4 linked regions of the Rhinolophus ferrumequinum genome follow. The protein of the gene in region 2 interacts with the protein of the main gene of each other region in a biochemical or structural test. Links are inferred from orthologs where the notes say so. Each region holds a gene or a part of one and is shown on either strand. Other genes may lie near its edges. The genes, in order: ADRB1, SNTA1, SLC6A3 and DMD.

Region 1 (7,840 bases), on a different chromosome or scaffold from region 2:
TGGTTCTATATGAGATTTCAAGAAGCTTTCACATACATTACCTCATTTAATTTGAGCACAACCCTGGGAGGGAGCGAGTGGCGAGTGCATTCTACAGAGGAAGCCACTGCTGAAGGTCACAGGGAAAAGTGACAAGGCCAGGACACAAACCTTGATCTTCTGCCTCCCAGGTCTGAACACTTTCCAACACATCCACATTTTGAAAAATATTATTATTGGCTCTAGCACTGTTCAATGTACTTGTTAGACATACCAGGAACAGGAGGAGGAGGCAAAGATGGAGGAAGTTTCCAAATAGTCCACACTTGTCTATGATTATACCACTGTCCTCTGTGCTTGTTCTTATCATAATGGATGGAGTTGCTTCTCCCTGTGTAAACTGTGACTGCAAAACCATTATATGACCTTAAGTACCAGCCACGGGTACAGGCTGTTCTTTTGTTACTTAGTTCTGGGTGACTGTTTCAGCAGTTGTATTGCTTGATATGAAAAGTTGTCTATCTTTACTCAGAAGTAGCCATTTGAGCTCTGATTAACAAATCCCACCACTGATTATCAGCCTTGAGGCAATCTTGCTTACTTAACATTTATTGATTTGATACATTTATTGGGGCTTTATTTGAAAATTTCCCCATTTCCACTGGCCCACCTTCCAGCAGTTGTCTAGTTAGATTATCCCTTTTACTTTTACCTCATTTTCAAGGTAAGTCAACTCACGAGGGGAAATGTCTTCACCAAGCTCATGGCTTACAACCATAGGTGGGTTGGATACCTATTAACTACTGCTGTGTGGATCTTTGATTTAATCTAAAACTTGAAACCAGGTTCAAGTCATGAGCTATTCTCCAAGGGCAAAATGCCTGCATATATAGTATCATAAAGCTTAAAAAAAAGGTCATTTACCTTGAATATTTATGAAGATTAAGTAGTGCTTTTTATGGCTGTGGACCTGCATGGCCCCTTTGGAAAACCTCTTATGTCCCATTTTATTCATTACCAAGTAGGTATAAATTTATCTCATGAGCCTACCTTGTAATTGTAAAGTATTTTTAAATGCTTATGTGAAAATAGTGACTAGGCTATAGGGACATAAATTATTACTGTAAATTCTAAGCATGATGTAAGATTATAACTCTAAAACCACTCAATAATTTCTCACATTAGTAAATATAAGAATATTTCAATAAATTAGACATTACATATTTATGAATCAAAGCTCCATGTTAATTAATATTAAGCAAATGTTACATCATGGGAGATATAAAAATGTACAGGATAATCCTGGCTCTCAGTGATCTTACAATCCATATAAGAAAAAGGGAGAGAAACCTATAAAAATTAAATAAAAATATGACAGATGTGAAAAGGCAAAATATTGTTGACACATGAAATGCAATTATCAGAGTAATCACTGTAGGTAGAGGAAGGAGAAATCACTTCCAGAAGCAGGTGGGCAGAAATAACTGTAAAATAAAAAAGATAGATCTTGAAGACTGAATCCACTGAGACAGAGATGGAGGAAGAAGGGATTCTTGATGGAAGCAACCCAGGGAGAGTACAAATGCGAGAGAGAGAGAGAGAGAGAGAGAGAGAGAGAGAGAGAGAGAGAGAGAGAGATTAGATCTAAAAGAGAGAAAAAAAATTCAGAAGTTCAGGTTAGAGTGACATGGAGAGTTCTAGTCCAAGGTAGTACTGGGAAGGCTATAAGGCTATTCGGAACTGGACGGTGGAAATCTCTGAATGCCAAGCTGAGGAGTTAAGGTTTTTCAACAGAAAAACATCTTGGTCAAAGAAGTGTTTTAGAAATACTAATTTGGTATGGCATTCCAAATTAAATGGAGCAGGGAGGATTAGAGATCAAAGAGATCAAAGAGAATGCATAGCAAGTTCAGGTGTGAAATGATGGTAGTGGGATGGGAAAGGTAGAGGTGCGACAGGGAATATTGAGGAAGAAGGCCACTAGCTCTCAGGTGTGCTGGTTAGCATTGATTGTTGGAGCTTTCTGTCATTTTCTAAAATCCTGTCAAATCCACGGGTTCCTGAGAAGTGATTCATTTGAACAGTTGTGAGTGGGAATGGAGAAATTATTCATTTTGAACTTGCAACATGTAATACCTGTATAAATGGATATATCGGACCTTTTCTTCTTGATCTTGTATCCTTATCTAAGTACAAAAAGTGTTAGCTCAAAAATGTCCAAAGAAGAAGAAGAAGGAGAAGGAGAAGGAGAAGGAGAAGGACAAGGAGAAGGACAAGGAGAAGGAAAGAAGGAAGAAGAAAAAGAGTGCCACAAAATGTAGGAATTAAAGGAGATCTGAGAACATTTCATTTTCAAAGAAAGCTAACTCTAGTTGAACCTGGACTATTCCAAACTTTTCCATCAATACCACTGAAGGAAAGTCCCTGGGATCCCCTGCAGCCCTCTAGTGGAACTCCTATTAAAATAACTTTCTGGTTTTGAAGATTTATGATTTAATGAATTTTTTTATCCAGAAATTCAGACAAGCTTGAATGAGCAGGGGGGTAAGTTTCAGGAGAGTTTTTCAACAATTCTCCATACATGGTGTGTTTATACATACTATGTATACAAATACATGTATGGATACATAATGTATACAAATACGTACATATTTATAGACACAGTAAAGGTATTGGCATCTGGGCTTCTGCACTGAACCTCTACAACCAAGTTCTGGTCTTATTGCTGACAGAATGCAATCCCTTCATCTTTCAGGGGCACTTGAGCTTGGCACACTATTCCAATAACACCACTTGACAGAAAGATGGCTCTGATAGAAAGCCTCCTCTCCACATTCCCTACACTTCACCCCCGAGCCCAGCAGCACTCAGAACCCCTTTCCTGGGAAGTGTCAAATTCAACTCTTTCCAATCCCTTGGCTATTTTGAGACTACCTCTTGCGGGTGGGTGTGGGGTTCAGGGGGTACAGAAAGAAGCCAGAGGGGGAGACAGGAGTGCAGTAACTTGGGTAACTAAGACTCTCCAGAGATTATACTTAACTCAGGGTATAGTTCCTGTTCCTCCCTCTTTCTAGACCCTCTTCTTTCCTTGCTCCCCCTTCCTCAACCTCTCCAGTTTGGCAGAAATAGGCTGACAAGTCCTAGGGCAGGGATGAATGAGCAAATAAATCACCATCCCCCCAACACTCTGATTACAACTCTGGGCCTAAAACAAATTTATATGTTGAGATTCACATAAGAGAAGGTGGTTAAAACTGCTTGACTTTATAAACTGAATAAGCATTGCTTTTAGCTCTAGACATGGGTTGGTGTGGAAGTCAATCTCTCTGCAAGGTAAGAACGAGTTTGGTCCAAAAGCTAGAAAGATGCGTGAGCATTACATAACATTTTCATGCACCCGTATATGGGTAATTGGAAGCTGTCTACTTCTGAAGGATTCAATTAAAGGCTTTTTATTTTCAAGGTTGAGCTGAGGACCTTAATTTGAGAGGGGGCTTGCAGTCCTGCTGCATTGTGTGCTCCTGGTGGCTATCCTGTCTGTTTGTCCCCACACACAATCCACAGACAGCTAGGCACACAACTCACTAATTTCAAACTGATTCATTTGCCAACTCAGAAACCACTGATATAATTTTAACTGCTATCTGATTTTAATCCTCTTGAGTATTTACATATTTTCTTCTCTCATCCCTCCAAAATTAATCCTAGAGTTCTGAGACTCTGGGAACTTGGACAAAGGAGAAAACCAAGCCCACCAACAAATCTGAAATCTCAGTTCATTACATCAACCATAACTAACAGTACTTTTCTGTTTGTAGTGACCCAGCTCGAATTATAAAATCATGTCAGTAATAAAACACAAAATGCAGGTGTTATTACTGAATGGGAAAAGTCTGAAATGTAATTAAATGTGTTCTTTCTTCACCGCAGTGTCATTTTCTCTTATGTCTAAACATTTGTGTTTCCTTAAGCCTCTCTCTCTTTATAGCATCCACACTCATTGTTGCATTATACTCACATTATGCATTAGTTGAGACTGGGGAGTGTCCAACTGGTCCTCAGCACTAGCTGTCAGATGCACAGACCTTAGCTTCCTTTCTGCATCTACTGCACTGGTACAACAGAAGCTCCTTGCAAGAATAGCGCCCAGAGAGCGTTCCTGAGGGATGCGTCGTTTGCTCTTCTAGCAAGGCGCTCTGCTGCAAAGTTTCCTCTAACCACTAACACCCGCTTCCGATCCCCTGAGCTGGCAGGACGCAGTCTGGCTGGGTCCCCTCCTTGACCAGGAAAGGGTTTTACACACACTCTGCTAGGCTGCCCGATCCGAGAAACAATCTCCTCCAAACCCATCGGACAGGCTGTCAAAGGTGTCCTGGGGCTGGGAGAACACCGAGCTTCCCTCCCCGCAAAAGGGAGAACTCGCTCCGCTCCGCAGGAAAACTGGGCACTGGACGTAGAGGGGATGCCAGGGGACGGGGGCGCAGGAGGGAGCCGAACGCAGGAGGCAGAAGGGGCGAAGAAGGGAGCGCAGCGCAGGAGAGAGTGGGGGCCTTAGGAGAGGGGCAGGGACGCGGGTGGGAGCTGGCCGCAGCACGGAGCTTGGGGGAACAGGGCGCAGGAACCAGCAGGAGCGGGAAGGGGCGCGCGCACAGGCACCGGCGGGCGCCGGGCAGGAGCTCACTGCTCGAATCGTCCCGGACTCCCCAGAGCCGCTGAACTGCGGGTGGGAAGGGGTGCGGGGCGTTGGGGCGGGGGGGTGGGGGGGAACCAACTAGGGGCGTGCCTTTGTCGGGATTGGCTGCAGGAGCCTGACGCGAAGTCCGAGGGGTTGGCTTGCGGGAGTAGGAGCGGGGTGGGGTGGATGCTGGGTGCCTGAGCTGCGGGCTCAGCGCGCTCAGAAACATGCTGTGGTCTCGGCGGCTGTTCCAGCAGCGGCAGCGGCTCCAGCAGCAGCGGCGGCGGCGGCGGCGGCGACAGAGCTTGGCTCCCGCAGGGAAGGCGCCCGGCGCCCATGCCTCCGGCTCTGCGCAGCGGCTGCCCTGACCTGGCCGCGACCTTCCTCCGCGCGCCCGGACGCCCCAACCTCTGGGGTGTTCCCCAAAGACGGCCCAACCCCGCCACACACCCCGCCCCCGGCCTCCGCAGCTCGGCATGGGCGCGGGGGCGCTCGTCCTGGGCGCCTCCGAGCCCTGCAACCTGTCATCCGCCGCGCCGCTCCCCGACGGCGCGGCCACCGCAGCGAGACTACTGGTGCCCGCGTCGCCGCCCGCGTCGCTGCTGACCCCGGCCAGCGAGGGACCTGTGCAGCTGTCGCAGCAGTGGACCGCCGGCATGGGCCTGCTGATGGCGCTCATCGTTCTGCTCATTGTGGCGGGCAACGTGCTGGTGATCGTGGCCATCGCCAAGACTCCGCGGCTGCAGACGCTCACCAACCTCTTCATCATGTCCCTGGCCAGCGCCGACCTGGTCATGGGGCTGCTGGTTGTGCCGTTCGGGGCCACCATCGTGGTGTGGGGCCGCTGGGAGTACGGCTCCTTCTTCTGCGAGCTCTGGACCTCGGTGGACGTGCTGTGTGTGACGGCCAGCATCGAGACCCTGTGTGTCATTGCCCTGGACCGCTACCTCGCCATCACTTCGCCCTTCCGCTACCAGAGCTTGTTGACCCGCACGCGGGCGCGGGCCCTCGTGTGCACCGTGTGGGCCATCTCGGCCCTGGTGTCCTTCCTGCCCATCCTCATGCACTGGTGGCGGGCTGAGGGCGAGGAGGCCCGTCGCTGCTACAACGACCCCAAGTGCTGCGATTTCGTCACTAACCGGGCCTACGCCATCGCCTCGTCTGTCGTCTCCTTCTACGTGCCCCTGTGCATCATGGCTTTCGTGTACCTGCGGGTGTTCCGAGAGGCCCAGAAGCAGGTGAAGAAGATCGACAGCTGCGAGCGCCGCTTCCTCAGCGGCCCGGCACGGCCGGCCTCGCCCGCGCCCTCGCCGGGGCCCCCGTGCCCCGCCGCCACCCCGCTGGCCAACGGGCGCACCAGCAAGCGGCGACCCTCGCGCCTCGTGGCCCTGCGAGAGCAGAAGGCGCTCAAGACCCTGGGCATCATCATGGGCGTGTTCACGCTCTGCTGGCTGCCCTTCTTCCTGGCCAACGTGGTGAAAGCCTTCCACCGCGACCTGGTGCCCGACCACCTCTTCGTCTTCTTCAACTGGCTGGGCTATGCCAACTCGGCCTTCAACCCCATCATTTACTGCCGCAGCCCCGACTTCCGCAAGGCCTTCCAGCGCCTGCTCTGCTGTGGGCGCCGGGCCGCCCGCGGGAGCCACGCGGCCACCGGCGACCGGCCGCGCGCCTCCGGCTGCCTGGCGGTGGCCGGGCCGCCGCTGTCGCCCGGGGCCGCCTCGGACGACGACGACGAAGACGACGTCGGGGCCACGCCGCCCGCGCGTCTGCTGGAGCCCTGGGCCGGCTGCAACGGCGGGGCGGCGGCGGACAGCGACTCGAGCCTGGACGAACCGAGCCGCCCCGGCTGCGCCTCGGAATCCAAGGTGTAGGACCGGGCACCCCTCCACACCTCCCAGCCGGGACGCGGGCTCTGCGCGCCTAGAGGAAGAAAGCCTAGGCGTCCCTGAATGGCTTCCCAGGGGAAAGAGATATGTGTTTACTCAAGATCGAAAGCAGGTGAACTCGGAGCCCACAAACCTCATCTGAATCATCCAAGACAAACAGAAAAGCCACGGATCGTTGCACAGAAAGGAAAGTTTGGGGAGGGGTGAGAGAGTGGCTTGCTGATTTTTCTTGTGTTCTTTTTCCTGTTTGAGGTTCGATCTTCTTTTGTGTGTGCGTATGATGCATCTTTAGGTTTTGTTTTGTTTTTGTTTTTGTTTTTGTTTTTGTTTTTCCCCAGGTGTTTTTGACACGTTCTACGAGGACTGGGTAGGGCAAGGGAGAAGCATGACGGGGTAAAAGTCTATCGACTTGACTTCCCGGGAACAGGAGCGGTCAACCGGAGCGAGAGGGGGAATGACAATTTGTCGGGACATGTTTCCTTTTGCTTTCCAGAGAAATTTCATTTTAACTCCTGAGTTATGATTTCTCCTGTTCCTAAAGCAAAGGGAAAGGGTGTGTGCGAAATCCACGTTAGAAGAAATTGTAAGCTATTCTTGGAACAAGCCTCACCTTGCTTTCCTTTTGTAGGATAAGCCTGCTGTCCCCGTGCGCCTCGGTCGTCAGGCTGAGGGGTTTCTACCTCACACTGTGCACATTGCACAGCAAAATAGAAAGACTTGTTTATATTAAACAGCTATTTATGTATCAATATGAGTTGGAAGGACCAGGCACTGAGCCTCTGTGACATGTGACTGTCCATTGAAGACAGAACAGAAAAAGAAAACAAAAGAGGAAACAGTTCAGATTACTAAACGTGGGTAAAAACAAAACACAAAACAAAACAAAAAAAGGAGTGGTTAAAAATGCCATTTTTGCACAGTGTTAGGAATTGTAAAGTCCACAGAAGATGTTACTTGCACAAGAAGAAATTAAATATTTTTAAACGTGGGCGGGGGAGATCGTAAAAACTAAAATAAAATTGAAACTCTACTTCTGTTGTCTATTATGTTATTTAGCTAATGACTTATTGGAAAAATACCTTTTTATACTCTTTTATCATGGTACTGTAATTGTATCCATATTATAAATATAATTATCTTAAGGATTTTTTAATTATTTTTTTATGTCCAAGTGCCCACGTGAATCTGCTGGTAAAATTTAGCACCTGTGTGTAAATTCTATTTTCCTCTGTGTGTTTTACCAAGTATTTATACTCTGGTGCAACTAACTACTGTGTGAGGAACTGGTCCACGTGCA
Region 2 (7,113 bases):
CTCACATTTTTTTCTTTTGATTTTTTAAATTAGTTTCAGGTGTACAAAGCAACATAATAGTTAGACATTTAAACCTCTCATAAAGTGATGTCCCTCCCCCAAGGTACGACCCCTCTGACATCTTATATAGCTGTTCAATACCATTGACTATCTTCCCTATGTTGTATTCTACATCCCGTGACTATATATATATATACCTATATATTTAGTTATAGTTGACATTCAATATTATTCTACTTCAGCTTCAGGTGTACAGCACATTGGACACAGTCTATGAAATGATCCCCTGATAAGTCCAATGCCCATCTGACATCTTACATGATTTTTACAACATTGTTGATTATATTCCCCATACTGTATTAACTACAAATTTGTATTTCTTAATACCTTCACCTTTTTCACCCTGCCCCCAACCCTATTCCCTTCTATCACCCTCATAGATCTAGTACCTATCTGGCACCATACCTGTTATTACAATATTATTGACTATATTCTTTATGCTATACCCTACATCCCCATGACTACTGTGTAACAACCAATTTGTACTTCTTAATCCCTTCCCCTTTCACCCGTCCTTAACCCCCACTCCCATCTTAAAGAAGTCCCTCTAAGATTCCTTGTAATACTGGTTTGGTGGTGATGAGCTCCTTCAGCTTTTTCTTGTCTGGGAAGCTCCTTATTTGTCCTTCAATTCTAAATGATAACTTTGCTGGGTAGAGTAATTTTGGTTGTAGGTCCTTGCTTTTCATCACTTGGAATATTTCCTGCCATTCCCTTTTTGCCTGCAAAGTTTCTGTTGAGAAATCAGCTGCCAGTCTTATGGGGGCTCCCTTGTATGTAACTAACTGCTTTTTTCTTGCTGCTTTTAAGATTCTCTCTTTGTCTTTATCTTTTGGCATTTTAATTATGATGTGTCTTGGTGTTGGCCTCTTTGGGTTTATCTTTGGGACTCTCTGTGCTGTCTGGGCTCATACGTCTATTTCCTTCACCAGGTTAGGGAAGTTTTCTGTCATTATTTTTTCAAATAGGTTTTCAATTCCTTGCTCTCTGTCTTCTCCTTCTGGTACCCCTATAATATGAATGTTGGTATGCTTGATACTGTCCCGGAGTCCCCTTAAACTCTCCTCAATTTTTTGGATTCTTTTTTCTTTTTGCTGTTTTGGTTGGGTGTTCTCTACTATCTCATCTTCTACATGACTGGTTGGATCCTCTGCTTCATCTAAGCTACTGTTGGTTCCCCGTAATATACTCTTCATTACCATTATTGCATCCTTTATTTCTGACTGGTTCTTTTTCATGGTTTCCATCTGTATTTTTATGCTTCCTATTTTTCTGTTGAAGTTCTTCCTGAGATCATTGAGCATTCTTATAACCAGTGTTTGGAATTCTGCATCTGATAGATTGCTTATCTCTGTTTCACTTAGTTCTTTTCCTGGAGCTTTGTTCTGTTCTTTTATTTGGGACATGTTTTTTTTTTTTCCCTCCCCATTTTGGCTGCCTCCCTGTGTTTATTTCTAAGTATTAGGTAGGGCTGCTATGTCTTCCAGTCTTAGTAGAGTGGCCTTATGTAGTAGGTGTGCTGTGGGGTTCAGTGGCGCAGTCTTTCTGGTCACCTGAGCCGTGCACTCCAGGTGTGTCCCTTGTGTGGGTTGTGTGTGCCCTCCTCTTGTAGTTGAGTCTTGGTTGATAATTGTGTATCAATGGGAGGGACTGACCCTTGGGCTCACTGGTTGTGAGGACTGGCCTTGACTACAGTGGAAGAGTTGTTGTGTAGGGGCTGATCCTATGGAGCAGGATCTGCCTCAGCAGGACTCTGGTGCCTACCAAATCCGGCACTTGGGTGTGTCATACTCAGAGGCGGATGGGTAATGCCCCAGCTTGTTTTGAAGCTGCCCACTGGGGGCACCAGACCCAGGGCCATTTTGGAGGGGATCTGCTGTAGGTCAAGTTCAGCCAAAGCCTGTGCCCCACCCAGGGCCACCTGGCAGGAGCCACAAAGAAATCCACAGATGGCTGCTACCCATGCTGTGCTTGGAAGCGCCTTGAGAAGCCAAGCCACAATCCAAGGCCAGCTGCCGCTAGTGCCGCACTTAGGGCTGCTCAGCCAGAGGTACAGGATACGCTCAAGCCAGATGCTTCTTGTCTGGGTTCCATGGTCCTTTGAGAGACCCTAGGAAAGTCTGCAGCTTGAGCCAAGACAGGTGGTCTACACAAAAAAGCCACTGGAAGCAGCCTGGGTGTGCCCAAAAGTTGGGCAGGGTTGGGTCTCGAATTGCCCGTGAGTGGCAAACAACAGCAGACTCAGATATGGTGGCCGCCTGCATCTGCACTCGGGGAAGGGGGAGGGCTCAGCAAAGACACAACGGTCTCCACCAGTTCCCCCGTGCAGGAGAAAACTGCCTCTCTAGCCCCTCTCCCAAGCCAGACAACTCAGTTCCCCACCAAATGTCCCTGAGACCTCTCCAGCTGCTGCCCTAGCACTGGAGCTCAGAAGGAGTGATTCATTAGTGGGTAAGTCTGTACATGGTCCGTTTAAGAGGAGCACCTGAGAGTGCAGCCGCTCTCCATCTCACTCAGTCACAATCTCCGCTGGTTTTCACAACCAAAAATTATGGGGACTTCTCTCCCCAGCACTGGAACCCTGGGCTGGGGTGGGGCTGGGACCTCTTGCTCCTCTGGGGGCTGGGGGGACCCCCACAGCTGAAATAACCCCCCTGATCTTTAATGGTCACACACGGATGTGGGACCAGCCCATTCCACATCTCTGCCCTTCCTACCCATCTGGAGGTGGCTTCTTCTGCACATCTTTAGTTGAAAGCCTTCAGTTCAGCTTGATTTTAGGTGATTCTCAATAATGGTAGTTTTGTAGATTAGTTGTAATTTTGATGTGGTTGTGAGAGAAGGTAAGCACAGCGTTTATATTGCACCATCTTTGTTGTCTCTCACAACTCATATTTTTTTAATGCTTACTATGTGCAGGAATTAGGCTAAGCAGTTAGCCAGTATTATTTATTTCTCATAATAATCTTGGGGATAGTAATTTTAATATAGTATTCTCATTTTATAGATTATGAAATGGAACGTTAGGGGTTAAATAAGTCACCCAGAACCACATAGATAGAAAGTGGCACAGTGAGAATTTGAATACAGAAAATCAGAAACCAAAGCCCATGCTCTTAACCACCAAGGGATCCTGCCTCTCAGTGGACTGTATGTTCTATGAGGCAAGATACTAACTATCTTGTTTACAACTGAATCCCTACATCCAGCACTGTGTCTGGCACATAGAAGTTGTTCAATAAATATTGTTGAATGAATGAATGGATTGTAAACTCAGCTTTTGCTGCTATGTGGCCTGCAGAAAGGAGAAGCAGGAGGGATATGGGCTTGGAAGCCAGACAAACCAAGGTTAAACTAGAGGTCTCTTCTTACTAGTGGTGTGCCTCAATTTCCTCATCTATAAAATGGGGACAATATACAGGCTATGCAGGATTTATGTGAGATTTAAATGACAATGTATGTAAACCAGCCAGTTCATGTGTCAACATACAGCAGACTGAATAAAAGGCATCTATGTATTATATGTGCATGTGCACATATAATACATATATGTTATGTAGGTGGCCTCAGGGGGATTTTAGTAGTATAGAACCATTTCCCTCTTGTTGGACACTTGGATTCATCTCTGGTTATTGACTTAAACTCAAGGCCTGTCCTTGGAGTCCAGTGGTCCTCTATACGTAGCCCCGCCCCGAGGTTCAAAGCCTTGCACCAAGATCCATGTCTCTTTTTCTTATGCTCCTAAAAGCGTGAGTTACGGTCCAGGCCCTCGACGGCCTTGCTCAGCAGTCTCCACGATTGGATGCTAGGGCTCTGCCCCAGGCACTAAGGCCTCTGCCCTCGCCCCTCCTCTCCCCGCCAGCTCCCGCACCTCACTGATCCCTATCCTTACTTAGCGGCCTGGCCCGGACGCCGGTATGGTCCCACCCGCAAAGTAGTCCCGCACTACACATCTTTCGGCTCCTGGACTCCGCCCCAGAGTCCCGCTATCTTGCCTTCGGCCACACCTCCTAGATAGCCCCGCCCCTCGAGGCTCCACCCCCCCAGTCGCCCGGGGTAGGGTGGCGGCTGTCCCAGCCGGGCCCCCTGCGCCCTCTGCCCTGGGTGCTGGCTCGAAGCGGGCCAGACACTGCGGAGCAGGGCGAACGCGGCGGCCCGGGGGCTCCAAGGCGAAGATGGCGTCAGGCAGGCGCGCCCCGCGCACCGGGCTGCTGGAACTGCGCACCGCGGCGAACTCCGGGGCCGGCGGCGAGCGGTGGCAGAGGGTGCTGCTCAGTCTGGCGGAGGACGCGCTGACCGTGAGCCCCGCCGACGGCGATGCCGGCCCGGAGCCCGGCGCCCAGCGGGACCCGGAGCCCGCGCAGCTCAACGGCTCCGCGGAATCAGGCACCGCGCCCCCGCAGCTGCCGGAGACGCTGCTGCTCCAGCGGCGCCGTGTGACTGTGCGCAAGGCCGACGCCGGCGGGCTGGGCATCAGTATCAAAGGTGAGGTGAGCGAGGAGGCACTGAGGGCATAGGGTCTTGGTGTCTTGGTGTCTGTGGGCCTCCGAGGGACCAGGGCTCGCGGCGTCTGGCAGCATACCAAGGACACAGAATTGGAGGACTTCTGTCTGGGGGAAAGGTGGTTTAAGGGGACAGAGGGAACCGAGGGCACCCGGAGCACCAAGGTCGGAGATGGGTTCGAGAGTCGGAGGTCTCCGTCGAAAGGCACAGGTGTGGAAGGGTTTGAGGGGCGCACCAAGGACACGTGGGTAGGGAGTTCTGTGTAGAGGCATAGAGATCTGAGAGGGGCTGCGTGGGCATCAAGGAAAAGGGGAACCCCAGGAAAGCAAAGGGTGGCGAAAGGCGATTGAGGCCTGGGGCGCCACTAGGGCAAGGAGGGGGAAGTCTCTGAGACGACCAAGGTAGGGGATAGGGCCTGGAGTTCAAAGCGCAGGGAGGGATTGGAGATGAGGCGTCTGCTGTGCTCATGTACAGGGGTCCAGAAAGGATCTAGAAATCTGAGGACTCAGGAAAGCTGTGTACTTAGGCAGAGCCGCGTTTCAGTTTACTGACCACCTTGCCCAGGATTGAGAGGGGTGGACATAGAGTTGTTACTCCTTTTTGAGAGCTCTCAGCCCCCAATATTGACAGCTTTTTTTAGGGTGCAACCAGACTGTGCTTGAGTCCAGGATCAACTGTGTGAATGTAGACAAGTCATTTCCCATCACTGGACCTCAGATTTCTTAACTACTATATTGTGAAGCTAATGATAGAGTTGTGATGTTTTTATGAGAACAGGAGTCTAAAGTACTCACCCTGCCATCACATAGTAAGTGCCTAGTTAATTATTGCTGTTAGATGAGAGGGAAAATGGAGGCCAGGAAAGCAACTAACCATATTGCTTAAAATCTCTGCCCCCATTCCCCCCAACGGCTGTTGAGTTCACCATTCCTACCCATTTACTTCTCTCAGTGTCTCAGCCCCCAGCCGAGTGCTATCTGCCTTGGGAGGGGGTGTCAGCCCTTGTATCTTCCTGGATATGCACTGTTCTCTCTTCCTGGTGCTGGTTCTGTTTTTGGTACCTCCAGACCCTTTGACTTGGGCGAGGGGGTGGGGATAGTGATGACTTGGCTACCACTGTGTGCCATGTGTTATGCTCAGTACTCTGGGCTCACGATTCACTTTATCCTGGCAACAAGTGGTAAAAGGTAGGGAACATAAACCTTGTTTTACAGCTGAACGTACTGAGACTCAGAAAAAAAATGATTTTCCAAGGATCACACAGTTAGTGAATGGCAGAGCTGGGATTTGAACCTCAATTATCAGGCCACTGGAGAGTGCCTAGGGAAGTCAATTCTTCCCCGTGGAAGGGCAAATCTCCATGCAGCCAACGAAAGGGATCTAAAAGAGGGAAATGGGTAAGCCAGGGAGTGGGCACCAGTCTTGCCCCAAAACTCCAGCGTAGGATAGGGCAACAGATCAAATCTGGAAATTGTACACTCAATGTGTCAAAGCAGGAAGGAACTTAGAGTTCATACAGAGCTCCATTTTGCAGATGGACAAACTGAGACTTGGAGAGGAGCAGAGACTTTCCAAGGTCATATAAAGTTATACCCTAGCTCCATACTTCCAGGTGGGGGTGAAGGTACTTTTAGGAGGCGTCAAGGGAGGTACCAGCTCCATTCAATTCTTCATGTATGGAAACCAGGCTCTTGTTACCATGATGACCTCCCCCTCTAGGGTCCAGCCCAGTCCAGGCAGCTAGGAATGCACTAAAGTCCCCAGTTTCAGGCAGAACAAGGCAGATATAAATAGAAATCCCTTCCTTTCCTAGTCCGTAAGCTCTGCAGTGCAAGAAGCAAATTGTTGGTCCTGTGTGGGGGTCACAAGAGGTTTCTTTCCAGTCCTACCTCTGCCACCAATTTGTTATGTGACCTTGAAATAATGATCTACTTTTTCTGGGCCAGTAGTACTTCATCTTTAATATTTTGGGAATGGACAAGTAGTGTGATATCTGAGGGTCCAACTTGCCGTCTTCCATAGGGTGAAGAGTACTGGTTCTGAAGCCAGGAAACCTCAGTTCACATACATACTGGCTTTGCCACTTAAATAGCTGGATGACCTTGGACAAGGGGCTTCTATCCATACTTCAATTTTCCTGATGGGAAACTGAGCCTGCCTGTGTGATTGGGGTGTTGTGAAGATGCGATGAGACACCACTGACAACATTTAACACATTGCTTGGCACTTGGTACATGGAACTAATGTGAACTGTTATTACTATTTCTTATTTTAAAAGGTTATTCAAGAGTTTAGCAATAAAGCAATTGGGTAAAATGTATTAGATTTTTATGCATCAGAGATGAAATTCAGGCAGGCTTTTGAAATCTCTAGACTTTTAAGGCTTGGTTTCCAGCCTGGATCCTGGATTATAAAATTTTCTGATTGCTAATGAGATCCCTTGGAGCCATATCAAGAGCTGACTTTTATTGTAATGCCGGATTAGGGAGGTATCCCCACTATGGCAAAATTGCTTCAAGTCCAAAATATTTAAGAAAAAGCTAGTGAAGC
Region 3 (7,370 bases), on a different chromosome or scaffold from region 2:
TCTCCCTGGGATGGGGGGCAGGGAGATCCCACAGCTCTGCCTGTCCTTGGGCCACTCACTGTACCTGCTGAGGCATCAGTCTGCTCCCCTTGAGCTGGGCACAGTAATGCCAGCCTCCTCCTGGGAGTGTCAGGAACCCCCGCCTCCCCCCAAGATCGTCATCCAAGGCCCTCCATCTGTGCTGTGACCGGTGAAGCAGGGAGGCAGCAGGCGGGGGCGGCAGCAGGGGGGTGGGCATGATCTCCAACTAACTGGCTTCTCAACTTGAGTTTTGAGGTGACCCTGCCCCTGTATCTTAGTTTTCTGCCTTGAGTCCAGAGACAGTTGTGGTTGAGTTCAAGGGGGGACGGGTACATTTCCAGGGCATCTTCTGCTACTCAAGCTCAAGCGACTCCGCCCACTTTGTAAGCACCCTTCTGTGGGCCTTTGAGAATTTCCTTTCCAAAGTGAAATCCCCTTTGGAAACAGAAGGCCGAGCCATGGAGCCTCTGACCGCTAACTCCTGCTTTCTGCTCTCCTGGCCTCACCATCCTCAGCCGTGAAGTCCAGACATAGTGGTTGCTCTGAACTCCACCTCTATGGTTTTGTGACACCATCTGTGGTCTGTGCCCTGCTAATGTTAAGTGAGAAAACAGGGTGATCTTGCCAGAGTGCACGCATTCCTCAAGGGCACTGTCTCCACTGCCTGGGGTTCTAGCCCACAGGAACGCCCAGGACAGCAGGTGGAGACTCACCCCCACCATTTTTGTAGCACAGGTAAGGAAACCGCCAGACATTGGCCAGGTCCACTGCGAAGCCGATCACCGAGAGGAGGAAGTCTATCTTCTTGCTCCACGTCTCCCGGTCCTGGGTCTCCACGGGGCTCTGTGGGGTGCTGGTGAGGGTGGAGTTTGTGAGCTGCATCCCATTCTGCTCCTTGACCAGCACAACCTCCACCGCCCTTGGGCACGTAGCGTTGGGCTCCTTAGCTGGGGCCACCGTGGAAGACATCAGCGCTACTGGGCACCGGCTCCTACTCATGGCACACTGCAGTCTAGGGTTCTGTGCTTCTTCCTTCTTGGTCTCCAGCCAGCTTGAAAGATAAACACAGAGGAATGCACGAGTTTGTAGCCAGAATGCTGGTAGCAAGAGCACAGGTCCCAGCACTTACAATCTCTTCTGTGGGGCAGAGCAAACACATTCCGAGAAGCTATGATGACAGGGTAGGGCTGGGGGCGACAGGAGATGAGCTAGCTCTCCTGAGGTCCTGAGGAGACAAGCTGTGGAAACCTCAGCATGGACATCTGCTTTGCCCCCGTCCCCCACTCCTTTCTCCATTCCTATCAAAGTGCAGGGCTCCTGTGGTCTGGAATTCTGCTTTTAACAATAATGAAGCAGGGAGTAATCTCAGTCTCCAACCCACATTAGACACCAAGCCTGTACAAGAGCGCTCAGCTAGTCTTTAAACCAACATCAGCCACAGGAAGGAACGTTTAAAGATAACGATTACAACAGTTTCTTGGAAGAGTGCCTGCAGATGCACGCCCACCAGGGGCCAGAGCTCACCAGCCCCACCTGGAGGAGGGGGGCAGGGGCGAGAGCATCATGCGGATTTAGGGGAGGGGCCACGAGCTCCTGGACTCGGCAGTGTTATCAGGGAGCTCACTTCCAAGTCACTTCCATAATCCTGGGCAGTGCCACCAGGGACCACAGAAGCTGTTCCGGTCACAGCCAACAGAAAGCTGGGCCCTGGTGGCCATGAGCAGCTTCAAATGCGACTTGTTATGGCCTTTGGATCCACCAGCATGGTTTCACCTGTTCACACACGTGTGGGTGCATACATGCTAGAACACACACATGCTAGCATACGCACGCACTCATATGCAGTGGCTGAAGCAGAAGCATAATGGGGTGGCAGCTGTAAAGGGAATTCTCCACTGTATCCAAGTTTGAACAAAAACTCACAATGTGAGTTATTTTATGCACCTTCTCTGTGGCCCCTTTACCTCTGTTACAAACCCAACAGCACATTCCTGCTGTGTATGAAGACCTCCCCCAGGGGGCTGCACGGGATGCAGAGCAGGTGGGACTGGCCTGCGGGGGTGCAGCTGGAGCGGCTGGGGCTGCAGGCACGGCGGATTCCGGCCTTTGCTCTGATAAGGCCCACGCAGGCTGATCGGATCCTCGCCTGCCAGGGACGCCCACGCCCAGCATTTGGGGTGAGCCAGGTCACTCCTGGAGCTGCGGCCTCAGAGGCCAGGTTTGGGTACAGAAAACAAACTGTGGCCTCTTAGAAAGCGTCTTTCGTCACAGCACCCCCAAAGAGAAACGCAGCTGGCTCAGACGCTGTCCTCCCCTTGGCCGTTCCTGCAATCAGCCTGGAAGCACAGAACCCGCAACTCAGCGCCCCCAGCTCCACCTTCAAAATCAAAGACAAAACGCTGCGAGATGGAGCGTTGATTGAGAAAATCCCCCGGATCGGATCTGGGGACTGCTGTGCCCAGGCCCGCCTCACCTTGCGCGGCGACTGGTCCAACACGGAAGATTCCGCCACAAACAGCTGCGCACCCCCGGGTGCCCGCGCCGCGGGAAGCCGGGGACGGCCGCCCCTTCCAGATATAGTGGTTTGGAAGACACTATGACACAGACGTCGCCAGGAACCCAGCGCGCATCAGCCCCGCACCCCCTCTCGTGCACATATCTCTCGGCGGCTGACCACCTTACGGTCTCCAGCACTGTCCGCCGGGGCGCGCTGTGCACGCACCCCCGGCTGTTAGCGACTTGTGGAAACGCTGCCGTCTGCGGGACGCGGCGCCTGCCGACGGTGCTCCGCCCAACCTGGCGACCCTCGGCTGCAGCTTTCGGGGTCCACAGAGTGAACCGTGAGCCCGGAGGATAACGCGGGGGGCGTCTATGCGAGGAGTCACCCACGGAGTGCCCCGGCCTTACCTGTGCGCCCCGAGTTGCCTCTGAGCTGGTGTCCCTCAGCTCAGCACCCGCGAAAGCTCAGGCTCCTGCCGCTGTGCGCTGGGCGGTCTCGACCTCCGGCTCTTATCGTGTCTCCGAGGCCCGCCCCGCCCCGCCCGCCGTCGGGGGCGCCCGCCCGCCTGGCTCCGCCTCCGCACCGCCCCAGGTGGGCGGGGGACGAGCCCCGGCCGCGCCCTGCACCCGCCCCTGGGATCTGGATAGCCGGCGGGAGCCGGCGGCCTTCGGAGCGCTCTGCCACAGGTCCTGCGTGTCCGGAAACCTCCGACAGACGGGTGCGGGGCCGCCTTTGGGTGCCAGATGTGGCAGGACCGAGACGGGCTGTTTCCCAGCGGGCCCAGTCTAGGGCTCCCTCCCATCCTCGCCCGCACCCCCAGCCCTGCCCCGCGCATCTACGTCTGCTTCGGGGGCTCCCACGACCCACCCAGAACTCCGTCTCAGCGCGGCGGGGGAGGAGGAGACGGCCCTCGGGAGGGAGCCGGCCACAGCTGAAAAGTCGCCTGGCGGAGCCGAGCCACGCCTGTGCCCGCCCCTCGCTGCTGCGCGACCCCCACCCTGATGCTACACCGACCCTTCTCCCCAGCCGCCCGGCCCCACCGACTCCCCAGCGGCCGCCCAGGTCCGGCGTCCTGGGGACCTCTCCCCCAACGATTCACGCGCGGAGCTGGGGCGGCCGGCGGGGAGCGGATCCCAGGTCGCGCGAGTGGTGTCCTGTCTGAGTCCTCAGCCCCGCCGCGGCAACTCCTGCCCGGCCCCGAAGTATTGACGTCGCCGGGGTCTGGCTGTGGAGACACGGGCGGGTCGTTTTGTGGCTGGCAGTGTCCAGGCAACGTCGCCATGCTTTGCCCACATCTGGCGCAGCAATTGGCATCAGGTGGCTGGAATCACGCTGGCATCAGAAAATGATTTTCCCCAACGGCTTGGTGGTGGGTACCTGCTCCAGGACCAAACCCACTCAGAATCCTCTGAGTGGGCACGTGGAGTAGAGCACCACGTGGAGGAGTGGATCTCCAGGCCATCAAGTGAGACCCAGGACCTCAGGCATCAAGGTGAGTGGTCTCTTCTGGCATCGCCAGGCTGGGTGCCCCCCCCCCCCATTACCTGGCATGTGTCCTTTGATTTGCCATTGTACACTCACTGCCGTGGGGCATCCACACGAGTCTCCAGGCTCTCCACCCTGTCTGGATGTAGCTGCTCAGCAGGGTCATGGAAGCAGTGTCCCTTTGTCACACCCTGTCACCTCCTTAGTACCATTTCCCCCACTAGCTCCTGCCTCCACCTGGAGACCAGAGTCACTGCCTTCCCCATAGCCTCCTGATGGGGAGCCGGTGCCCAGGACAGGGCTGGTACCCAGCCAGAGCACAAAGGAACTGTCTGCCAGGCTCATTGGCATCAAGCAGAAAGAACCTGTGCCTGGTGTATCAGTCCTTTCCAGCTGCTGTAATGAAAAGGCCACAGACAGGGCAGCTTTTATAACAACGGACATTTCTTTGTCACGGTTCTGGGGGCTGGAAGTGGAAGATCAAGGCAGGGGCAGAATCTCTGTCTGGAGGCTTCCGGTTCACCAATGTCTTCTCTCTGCCGTGTCCTCACGTGGCAGAGTGCAGGGCTCTGTGGGGCCTCTTGTATAAGGGAACTAGTTCCATCCCCAGGGTGCCACCTTCATGACCCAACCACCTCCCAAAGGCCCTGCCTTCTACCACCATTGCATTGGGGGTTCGGATTCAACATGTGAGTTTGGAGGGACACAATGCAGGCCACAGCACTCGGGGACGGGACAGGATTTCAGGAGTGACCCTCACACAGGGCTGTCTCTCCCCACATATACCCAACAGCGTAGGTTTCAAGAAACAGGAAGAGTACAGTGGTAATCAACAGGCTCGAGGGGCGGCCAGATGGCTCCGTGGTTAGAGCACGAGCTCAGAACAACAGGGTTGCCGGTTCAATTCCCACATGGGCCAGTGAGCTGCACCCTCCACAACTAGATTGAAGACAACAAGCTGTCACTGAGCTTCCAGAGGGGTGGCCGGATGGCTCAGTTGGTTAGAGCGCAAGCTCAGAACAACACGGTCGCCGGTTCAATTCCCATGTGAGATGGTGGGCTGCACCCTCTGCAACTAAAGATTGAAAACGGCGACTGGACTTGGAGCTGAGCTGCGCCCTCCACAACTTGATTGAAGGACAATGACTTGGAGCTGATGGGCCCTGGAGAAACACACTGTTCCCCAATATTCCCCCAAAATAAAAAAAAAAAACCCACAAAAACAAAAAACAAAAATAGGCTCAAGGACACAAATGGACACCAAGAAAATGATTTTCTTTTAAATGGGAGCACATGGTAGAACCCGTGAGTTCAGATATATATTAAACACACACACACACACACACACACACACACACACACACACACCTGAATAAGAAACATTGGGAAGAAATGCGAGCCTTATAGGGGATAACTGTGACACCAGCCAACAAAGTGCAAGGAAAGGAGCAGCGGTGACAATAGCACACGGGGCTGTGGCGGGGTGGTGGTGGGGGCAGACAGCGTCCTCTGTGTGGGTAACACAGACTAAGTGCATGGCTCCCCAGTGCGTGGCTGCAAGAGGTACAATGGGGTGACCACCCTCTCTCACCTACACGTAGGCCAACCAAGAGAACAGCCCAGCACCCAGGAGCCCTCCACCCCGGCCATGCCCTCACATGTAACCACATGAGAGGATAGCTGGCAACAACCGTTGGGAGCTCTTAGTGAAGAACAACTGGGGACACGGTGGTGGTGGCGGCAGTGGCAGCATGCTGGCCCACAGGACAGAAGCCAGAACCATGCTCTTGTGCTCTCCATTTTCCTAGACAGGGCCGCTGCCCTCTGGACCTGTGCAGGTGGAAGTGGTGCAGTTAAGAGCTGATTAACCCTGATTAAAGTCCGCCCTTTGCCTGCTTGGAACTGTGCCCTAAGTTCAGAATCCAAGCAGGGGCGAAAGGCAGGCAGAGCACGGCACGTCCTGCCAACTGTTGGGGCTGTGCATGGCTCACCATTCCCTGTGGACCAGCTGCAGTGGCACAGCACATGGGAGGGGCTCTGAGAGGCTAGGTTTTAAGATGACTGGTTTGCTTGGCCCGCCATGACCAAGTGCCCAGGCTGGGCTTAAACACAGAACTATCCTCTCTGGGTTTGGAGCCAGCAGTCCAAGTTCAAGGTGTGGGCAGGTTTGCTTCTTCGGCTGTGAGGGAGCACGTGCTCCGGCCTCTCTCAGCTTCTGCCGTGGGCTGGCTGTTTGTGGTGCTGCTGGGCTTGTAGAAGAATCACCATCTCTGCCTTCACGCTCACAAGGTGTTCTGCACATGTGTGCATGTCCAAACGTCCCGGTCCTAGTGGACCAGGGCCAACCCTATGCTCTCATTTTAACTTGATCACCTCTGTAAAGACCTGATCTCCTTCTGGGGTCCCAGGACTTAGAACTTCAACACGTGGATTTGGGGGCACAATTCACCCTATGACAAAGAGGGACCTTAACAGGCCTGCTCCCAAGAGCGCTGCTCAGAACATGGCAGGGCCTTAAAGCCGTGCCACCGGACACGCTGCTCAGGCTGTTGGTCCGTCTGTATCGCAGAGACCTGCGGGGGCAGCAGGGTGCAGGGAAGGACAGAGGATGCTGCGGTGTGGACCATCTAAGGCACTGCTCGTGGCCAGTGGGGCTCAGCTGGCCGCCCTTTGTTAAGTCAGCTGCTGAGGAAGCTCCCTTTGCTTTAGACGTAAGGGGACCATCGGAGCCATAGCATTTGTACCCTCGCTGGGCACTGAGCTGAGGCCACCCTCGCGCCTCTTGACCCTATGTCATCTCCTGTGGCTTCAGTTATCTCCTGCAGGAATGACAGGGCTCCCACGTGCTGGGGCAGCAAGTTCATGCGTCACACAACCTTTGCCAGTTGTTCTAGCCTCTGTCCTCTCACTTTGCTGCTGACCACCCTCACACTGTGTGTAAAGGACTGAAAAGACCATCTACCTCAGGCAGTGAACCTTATGGGCAGCATGTGATTCCTGAAATGGGAAGCCCAGCCTGCAGGTTGGCAGCCCCTTGGAGGGAGGGAGTGAGCTGGTGCAGCTCTGACTGGGTGTACCTCTCTAAAGAAAAAACACCAGCAGACCAGGAACACGCTGGTGCTGCTCCCTGAGTGAGAAGTCAGGTGCTATCGTCAAGCCGCAGGCTCAGTGGGGTCCTGCCCTCGGTGACCCTGCTACGTCCCCGTGCGTCTTATGTTACTATGGCCATCCCAGTGGATGGCTGAGCTCTACAACACTCTCCATGGCACTCAGCTGGACCCCGGGAACTGTGTCTCCCAAATGCCCTGGCCGCCAGGGCTCAGGTCAGGGCTGCCACGGCAGCACCTGCTGAGTCTGAGGGGAG
Region 4 (7,683 bases), on a different chromosome or scaffold from region 2:
TTTTCCATTCTTCTATCAACAGACACCCAGGCTGCTTCGACATCTTGGCCATTGTACGCAATGCTGCAATGAACATATGGATACATATGTCTCCTCCAAATAGCCTTTGGCTTTCTTCAGATAAATACCCTGAAGTGGGTTTTCTGGGTCCTTCTTTGTCTCTTGGTATAACCTTTGTTTGAAAGTCTATTTTGTCTGATGTAAGCATGGCTTCGCCAGCTTTTTTTGTTTGTTTCCATTTTCATGAAACATCTCCTTTCATCTCTTTATTTTCCATTTGTGTGTGTGTCTTACAATATGAAGTGATTCTTTTGTAAGCAGCATATGTAAGGGTTTGGGGTTTTTTTATCCATTCAGTTCTCCTGTGCCATTTGATTGGAGCATTTAATCCATTTACATTGAAAGTAATTGTTGATAGATATGTAGCTATTGCTATTTTATTATTCATAATTTTGATCTTTTTTTCCCATCTTAAAGGAGTTCCTCTAACATTCCTTGTAATACTGGTTTGGTGATGATGAACTCTTTTTGCCTTTTCTTGTCTGGGAAGCTCTTTATTCTTTGATTTTAAATAATGACCTTGGTTGGTAGTCTTCGTGGTTGTAGATCCTTCCTTTTCATCATTTTGAATATTTCCTGCCAGTCCCTTCTGGCCTGCAAAGTTTCCGTTGACAAATCAGCTGACAGTCTTATGGGAGCTCCTTTATAAGTTACTCTTAGGTTGGTGCAAAAGTGATTGCGGTTTTTACAATTATTGCTAACCTTTTAAACCACAATTACTTTTGCACCAACCTAATAGTTGCCTTTCCCCTGCTGCTTTTAAATTTCTCTTTGTCTTTAAACTTTGCCATTTTAATTATAATGTGTCTTGGTGTGGGCCTGTTTGGGTTCATCTTGTTTGGGACTCTCTGCACTTTCTGGGCTTGTATGTCTATTTCCTTCACCAAATTAGGAAAGTTTTCAGTTATTTCTTCAAATGGGTTCTAAATCCCTTGCTTTCTCTCTTCTTGTGGTACCTCTATGATGCGAATGTTGTTACACTTGATGTTGTCCCAGAGGTGTCTTAAACTGTCCTCATTTTCTTTTATTCTTATTTTTCTTTTGCTGTTCTGATTGGGTGTTTTCTGCAGCCATTTCTTCCAAATTGCTGATTTGATCCTCTGCTTCATCTATTCTGCTAGTGATTTCTTCTAGTGCATTCTTCTTTACAGTTATTGTGTTCTTCACTTGTGACTGGTTCCTTTTTATGGTTTATATGTCCTTTTTAGGCTTGCTATCTCTTTGTTGAAATTCTCACTAAATTTCTTGAGCATTCTTATTACCAGTGTTTTGAACTCTATCCGGTAGGTTGCTTGCAGCCATTTCATTTTGTTCTTTTTCTGGAGTTTTCTCCTGTTCTTACATTTGGGACATATTTCTTTGATTCCTCATTTTCACTGCCTTTCTGTTTTTCTTTCTATGTATTAGGTAGTGCTGCTATGTCTCCCAGTCTTGGCTGGGTGACCTTATGTAATAGGGGTCCTTGGGGCCTCGTGGCACAGTCTCCCCGGTCACCTGCTCCAGGTGCTCCAGCAGTGTCCCTGTGTGGGTTGCGTGTGCCCTCCTGTTATAATTGAGCCTTGATTGCTGTTGGCATATCTTGGTGGGTATTGACCCTCAGGCTGACTGGCTGGGAGGTTTGGCCACATCCACAGCTTATGGGCTGCTGTGTGGTGGAACCTACCATATGGAGAGGGATTTGCCCCAGCAGGTTTTGGTGCCTGTTGAGACCGCCCTTTGGGTGTGCCACTTGTGGGGCTAATTGGGTGGTACTCTGCTGTGGTCTGAAGCCAACTTCCAAGTATGTTGGTTCTGAAGCCTCTTGGGAGGGGCTCTGGTGCAGGCCCAGGGAAGCCACTGTCTGTGACTGGCTGGGAACTACCTGGTAGGAGCTACAAAGTGATCCATGATTGGTCACTACCTGTGTTGTACCGGGAGGTGCGTTGGAGAGGCCATGCTGCAAACTGAGGATGGCTGCCACCAGTGCAGGGTCTGCAGTAGCTCTACAAAAAGCCAGGAAATTCAGAGGCCTGCTGCCACCTGCCAACTCCCATAAGCTTTAGCTGCTGATAAAGCCTCCTGCAGTATACAAGTCAGGTGAGGCCAGGTCTCAATGAATCAACAGGGTGGAGCAGCAGAGCTCACTAGGCCAATCAGATTCAGATTAGGCCTGTGGAGGTGGACTCAGCACAGGAAAAATGGTGCCCTTCTGCTGGCTGCATTGGAGAAGGGCCCCACACAGGGAAAATGGGGACTGTTCCTCAGTCCTTGCCCCGAAGTTATACAACTTAGTCTCTACCCATGTCTCCAACGCCCCCATGGTTACCATCCCTCCACCAGAGCCCAGGGTGAGTGTCTGTGTGGGCTGTTAAAAGGACAGCTGGGTTTTCCACAGCCTTCCGTCCTATCCTGACAGTTGGAATCCCCACTGTTTTTCATAGCCAGAAGTTGTGGGGGCTCCTCTTGTTGGCACCAGTTTTCCGGCTAGGGAGCCTGGTGTGTGGGGCTGGGGTTCCTTACTCCTTCATGGGGAACCTCTTTGGCCAAGATATCTCTCTCAATTTTCAGCTACCACACATGGGTGTGGGACCAGCCCCTTTTGAGACTTCACCCCTCCGACCAATGTTGATGTGGCTTCTTCTTTATACCCTTGGTTATAAAACTTCTGTTCAGCTAGACTTTAGATGGTTGTCCAGGCTATTTTTTCTATAATTCAGTTGTAATTTTGATGTGTTCATGGGATGAGGCAAGCACAACATTTATCTACTCCACCATCTTGGATCTTCTTTGGTACTTTATATAATTAACCAAGACAGGTGTTTGGTATATTTGGAGCCACTGTTGGTTTGAAAAACGACAGGGTTTTTCAAAATTGGCCATGCATTAGGATCACCAGTAAAACACAGAGTGTACCAGGTCCTATTCGCAATTTCTTATTTTCCAGGTCTTGTGTACTTGCATTACTAAAAAGTTCCTATGTGATGCTTTGTGGATCACACTGTACAAATCACTGATAAAACTATACATATGCCTTAGCCTAAACATGAGTTTATATCTGTAGGAAACTCACAGTACAAGGTGTAAAGGAACTCGTACTCTGAGTGATATGATACCCATCGCATAGGGCATTGATGCTAACATGCAGACTTGGATCCATGTCAGTCCTAAAACATTTTTTTATGTTTTTATGAAATTGTTGCTTATATGCATATTTAGACAACCACGCTAAGGAGAGGAAAGGAGGAAAGCTATGGAGAAGAACATTTTAAATCCTTTTAATAATAGCACTTAAAATACAGTTACATAACATTAGGCCTTATATTTTCTTTCATATAGATTTTGTTAGGGAGGAATGGTAGTATTATGATAATGATATTCTAAAATATAAAATGTATAATTCACTATTAAGGTTAATATCATAGCTTGACTCAATATGTCAGTTTTTCTGTATGTTTGTCTATAATTTATTTATGTCCCAAGCAATTGAATGGTTGACATAAAAAAATGAGACTGTCACTTTAACAAATGGTACTATAAAAATACTCAGACAAATAATTTTAACAGAGATTATTTTAATTGCAAAAGGAATATCTTTCTAAAACATGCTACCAATGTTTCCTATAAATATTGGGCTTACCTGTTGCATTAAAAATAAAAATATGATAATTTTATTAACCAATGTCACCCAAATAAATTTAGTATAAATAAATTATAAAAATAAGAAAGAAGATAAAGAAGCCTTCTAGTGGCAAATAATTATTTACAAACATGTTGAATGATACATTACAATTGTGTTCATTTAATACAGAAAAAAGCATCTATTGCGAGCAATTAAAAAATTTGTCATTAACTCAGTGTCTAAGAGAATGTTGTTGTAATAATTGTCACCAAAGAAGTTGAAGAAACAGTAATTCGTTAGTTAAAAATGTTTTATCAAAAGCTACAATGGGAATTTCATGTTTGAGTAAGATTTCTTTGTTCCATTATTAGAGTGTTCTTTATTTTAGCAGGAACCTCATCCCGTGAGACCTATACACATTCTGCCTTCAGAGCTCAGCTGTTCAATTCTTCTGTTGTTTCTCTTACTCAGACTGTTGACATCATCAATACATGACTTTTGATTGGATCCCCAGAGTAGAAATTAAGTTTGGTAAACAGTGGATACATAAGGCGTGCATAGATTATTCTGGGCATTTCCTTTTGTTTAGTGGAGTGAAAATTTTAGTGTTGTTAAGAAGGTAAAATAAGGAAAAGCATTTAGAAGTCTATTCTGCATCAGGAGTTTTTGCTCTGTTATTTTAGAAATGTGCATAGAAGTTACAGAAAGTATTGTTACAGTTTTGCACTAAAGAGGTTCTATGTTAAGAAGGCTTTGAGAGCAAGTACTGTGTCCACTGTGCTATTCTGGTTTGGATATTAATCAGAACACAGTTGAACATTATTTGAATTCACAGGACTTGCCATGCTGGAAGCACAACCTTATATGTAGTGACCATGGGCAGTCCTATTATGGGAAACCAACTTGAGAGAAGAGGCGGGTCACTTGCTTCTGCGCAGGTCCTGGAATTTGAAATATCCAGGGGCCTCTACAGAATCCTGGCATCAGTTACTGTGTTGACTCACTCAGTGTTAGGATCACTCACTTTCCCCTTTCAGGACTCAGATCTTGGAGGCAATTAGCTTCAGAGAAAAACGGACTAGGAAAAACCAAAGTGTTATTTTTTAAAGGCTGCTGGAGTTGTTTGGTTTCTCATCATTCCTAAACCTACTGGAGCAATAAAGTTGGGAGAAATTTTACCAAGATTTTTATCGCTGCCTTGATACACATTTTATTTTCCAAATGCTTTGGTGGGAAGAAGTAGAGGACTGTTGTAAGTACAAAGTAAAAATATTTTTTACAGTGGCATAACTTTTAGTTTGTGACAAGCTCACTGATTAGACAGATTGATTTTAAATTATTATAATATTTTGTGAATAACCATAAATGTTACATATTCTGCGTACGTATATTTGTGCAGGTGTACATGTTTCTCATTGTGAAAACTTTTCAGTAGAAATGAGGTAGAGTTTAAACTTTTGTTCTTACAAATATAATCAAACACATCTTTCTTATTTAAGAAACCACTAAAGTAATAGAACATGCATCACTGGCCTGGAGTATTTGCAACAAACCATTTTAACTGCTGTGAAATCGTTTGTGAATCTGAGTTATTATCTTGATTATTTGATACTTCTGTATTTAGTAACGGTTATATGTTGGGGTAGTGACCTGGCAAATATTCTCAATGAACTAGTTGCTGTGTGGGCATGATTTGTGGAGATCTCAAGATTAGAAAAATTGTATCTGGCGTATCATGGGGAGAAATTTAAAAAATAAAATGAATGGTGATGGATAAATGGAGGTTGAGAAAAGTATTGATAAATATTTAATTTAAAAGTTCCTTTCTCATATTACATTTAGTGTTTTGAATGTTCTTTTCTGTAATAATGATATAATCTATGCCATCAAATGATCAGACACTTTTCTTGAGAAAACACCATAAAAACATGAGAGACTTCTAATTATATTTCACAGTAAAGTCACTGTGTTGTTTCATGTCTGTGATGACCTAGCTTTTCAGTAAAGCTTTTTAATTTGAATTTTATGTAAAGCACAACTATTTTGTTTATTTTAAGAAAGTTATGATGACTAATGAAAAATTTCAAAATTGACTGTGACACAACAATAAAAATAATATATGAGGAGCACAGTGTGTCCCAAAGAGGTGGATGAAGTAGACAATCTTTTTTTCCTGCCTTTGACTTCTGGGTTATAGTCATTCTGAAATAGCTATGAGGGCAATGCTTATAAGTAAGAATGAAAAACGTAAATCTCTCCAAATAAGTAAGTCTTCAAAACTTCTAGAAAAAGAGTCATAACAGAAGTTTTGCCTCTGAGAAAAATTTGTGGAAAAAAGTTTACATTGTACAATTGCTGGCTCACATTAGGTCTTTCCAGAGTTTATATGTAGTGAAACATTTCTATATAATACCCTTATTTTATAAATTTCTTGGAGAGCATCAAAATTGATTTCTAATTGAAAAACTATTCCATTTACTAATATTACAAAAATCCAGTAGCCTATATTCTTTGCAACACACATACATAATTGACTGATCAAGCAATCAGTATATTTACAAAATTAAAACCATAAACCAGTGTATAGAAAAACTGAGAAAGAATAGCAAAGATTCAATTCTGGAATGAAGCAAGGCAAACTTACTGTCTGTTTTGTCATAGATATTCAAATAACTTTTTAAACTCTTAACTAGAATTTGAAGATAGCTAACCTTTTTAGGACAAGCCCTGTACAACTTTATGATAGTACATTTTAAAACTATCAGGTAATGTTTATGCTACATGACAATGGGTTTGTGAAAAGAAAATGAAGATATTCACAAGGTTATATTATACATTAACTTTTACTAATTGACAACATGCTACTATTTGAGTGTATTGACATTTGTGTCTAGTTTTTAAAATTGCCTTAGTTTGAAAACATTGAGAGTACATTTGGTTGGTTTTTAACCAAAATAGTTACCAATTAATAGAGAGGATCATTGTATTAGACAAGAATTGTTCACGGTTAGAAATACTCAAGTATTGCCTTGCAAAGAATTATTCAAATAATTTATTGCAAATATACATTTCATTCAAATTTTTTAAATAATGCAAATTATCTTTAGGTCTAATAAAATCGTCTTTTAGAATTTCATCTGCAGAGTCTTTTAAGGACATCTTAACTATGAAAAAGAGCTTGCTGAAATAGAGAGTATAGCTTTTATTTTAATAAGAAGTTTTCTGTGTCTCTTACATGGCATAATATTATGGAATATACAGTGGAGAACATCATGTAGAGTTACTCTAAAACTTACAAAATAGACTACAAAGTGTTTTGTGTAAGTGTATGTTATTTAAGAAAAAAGTTGTTGGTTGACACTACTCCAGCTAGGCAGAACTGAAATATTTGTTCTTAATTTGGACAGAGATATTAGTATAGCTTCCTCTTGAGTCCTGAAGTATTCATTTGAAATCCTTGTAGTCCAAGTCATTTGCTACATATGAAACAAATTGTCAAGTTTCTTAACCACTTGTGTGGTTTAATAAAAGAGATTAAAATCTTCGTTGTCTTAGAAATACAAGGTGGGTTTTTTTTTTAAATTCTGTTTTATTATCTTTCATCATGGCTTTATCACAAGGATAAAGCAGTGATTTCCCAAACCTTCCTTCCCCTTCCACTTTCTCCTGTACTAGTTCCCTAACTTATTAAAAATGATTTATTATATTTTTCATTAAACTATTCTTCTATTGCAAATGCAAGAAACATGGTGTTTTGGTGTGAGTATAAATGTTTAAAGAAACATACGTACACCTGTAATCACAGAGTTAATCACTTAAGAGAAACATTGAAAATTAATTGGAAATTAACTTTTCTTTAAATGTCATGTTTTGTTCATTGACTTATTTTCTATTTTAAACGCACGTCATTTATAAGAAATTTACAAATAAGACTAATGTACGTCCTCTGTCCAATGAAACATAAGTGTAGAGCCTCAAGGCTTAAGTGTTCAAAGTTTCATGGGAAGTCACCTCTGTATGAAGAA

Evidence for each region.
Region 1: the proteins of SNTA1 (region 2) and ADRB1 interact in a test that uses a peptide from one of them, tested with the Homo sapiens proteins (2 studies listed by BioGRID and IntAct). The link is inferred for Rhinolophus ferrumequinum from reciprocal best matches to the Homo sapiens genes SNTA1 and ADRB1.
Region 3: the proteins of SNTA1 (region 2) and SLC6A3 interact in a test that uses a peptide from one of them, tested with the Homo sapiens proteins (2 studies listed by BioGRID and IntAct). The link is inferred for Rhinolophus ferrumequinum from reciprocal best matches to the Homo sapiens genes SNTA1 and SLC6A3.
Region 4: the proteins of SNTA1 (region 2) and DMD form a complex in vitro, tested with the Homo sapiens proteins (2 studies listed by BioGRID, with this or other methods). The link is inferred for Rhinolophus ferrumequinum from reciprocal best matches to the Homo sapiens genes SNTA1 and DMD.

The regions. Positions count from the first base shown.
Region 1 is NC_046299.1:13,973,280-13,981,119, reverse strand, and holds the start of ADRB1 (beta-1 adrenergic receptor), read left to right. Parts: upstream 1-4,829; 5' UTR 4,830-5,130; coding exon 5,131-6,528; 3' UTR 6,529-7,840. UniProt on the Homo sapiens protein: Beta-adrenergic receptors mediate the catecholamine-induced activation of adenylate cyclase through the action of G proteins. This receptor binds epinephrine and norepinephrine with approximately equal affinity.
Region 2 is NC_046306.1:21,487,597-21,494,709, forward strand, and holds the start of SNTA1 (alpha-1-syntrophin), read left to right. Parts: upstream 1-4,095; 5' UTR 4,096-4,235; coding exon 4,236-4,545; intron 4,546-7,113. UniProt on the Homo sapiens protein: Adapter protein that binds to and probably organizes the subcellular localization of a variety of membrane proteins. May link various receptors to the actin cytoskeleton and the extracellular matrix via the dystrophin glycoprotein complex.
Region 3 is NC_046290.1:831,295-838,664, forward strand, and holds the start of SLC6A3 (sodium-dependent dopamine transporter), read right to left. Parts: upstream 3,017-7,370; 5' UTR 2,929-3,016; intron 2,899-2,928; exon of another isoform or gene 2,495-2,898; intron 2,358-2,494; exon of another isoform or gene 1,073-2,357; 5' UTR 1,021-1,072; coding exon 735-1,020; intron 1-734. UniProt on the Homo sapiens protein: Mediates sodium- and chloride-dependent transport of dopamine. Also mediates sodium- and chloride-dependent transport of norepinephrine (also known as noradrenaline). Regulator of light-dependent retinal hyaloid vessel regression, downstream of OPN5 signaling.
Region 4 is NC_046284.1:99,556,642-99,564,324, forward strand, and holds the start of DMD (dystrophin), read left to right. Parts: upstream 1-4,677; 5' UTR 4,678-4,879; coding exon 4,880-4,910; intron 4,911-7,683. UniProt on the Homo sapiens protein: Anchors the extracellular matrix to the cytoskeleton via F-actin. Ligand for dystroglycan.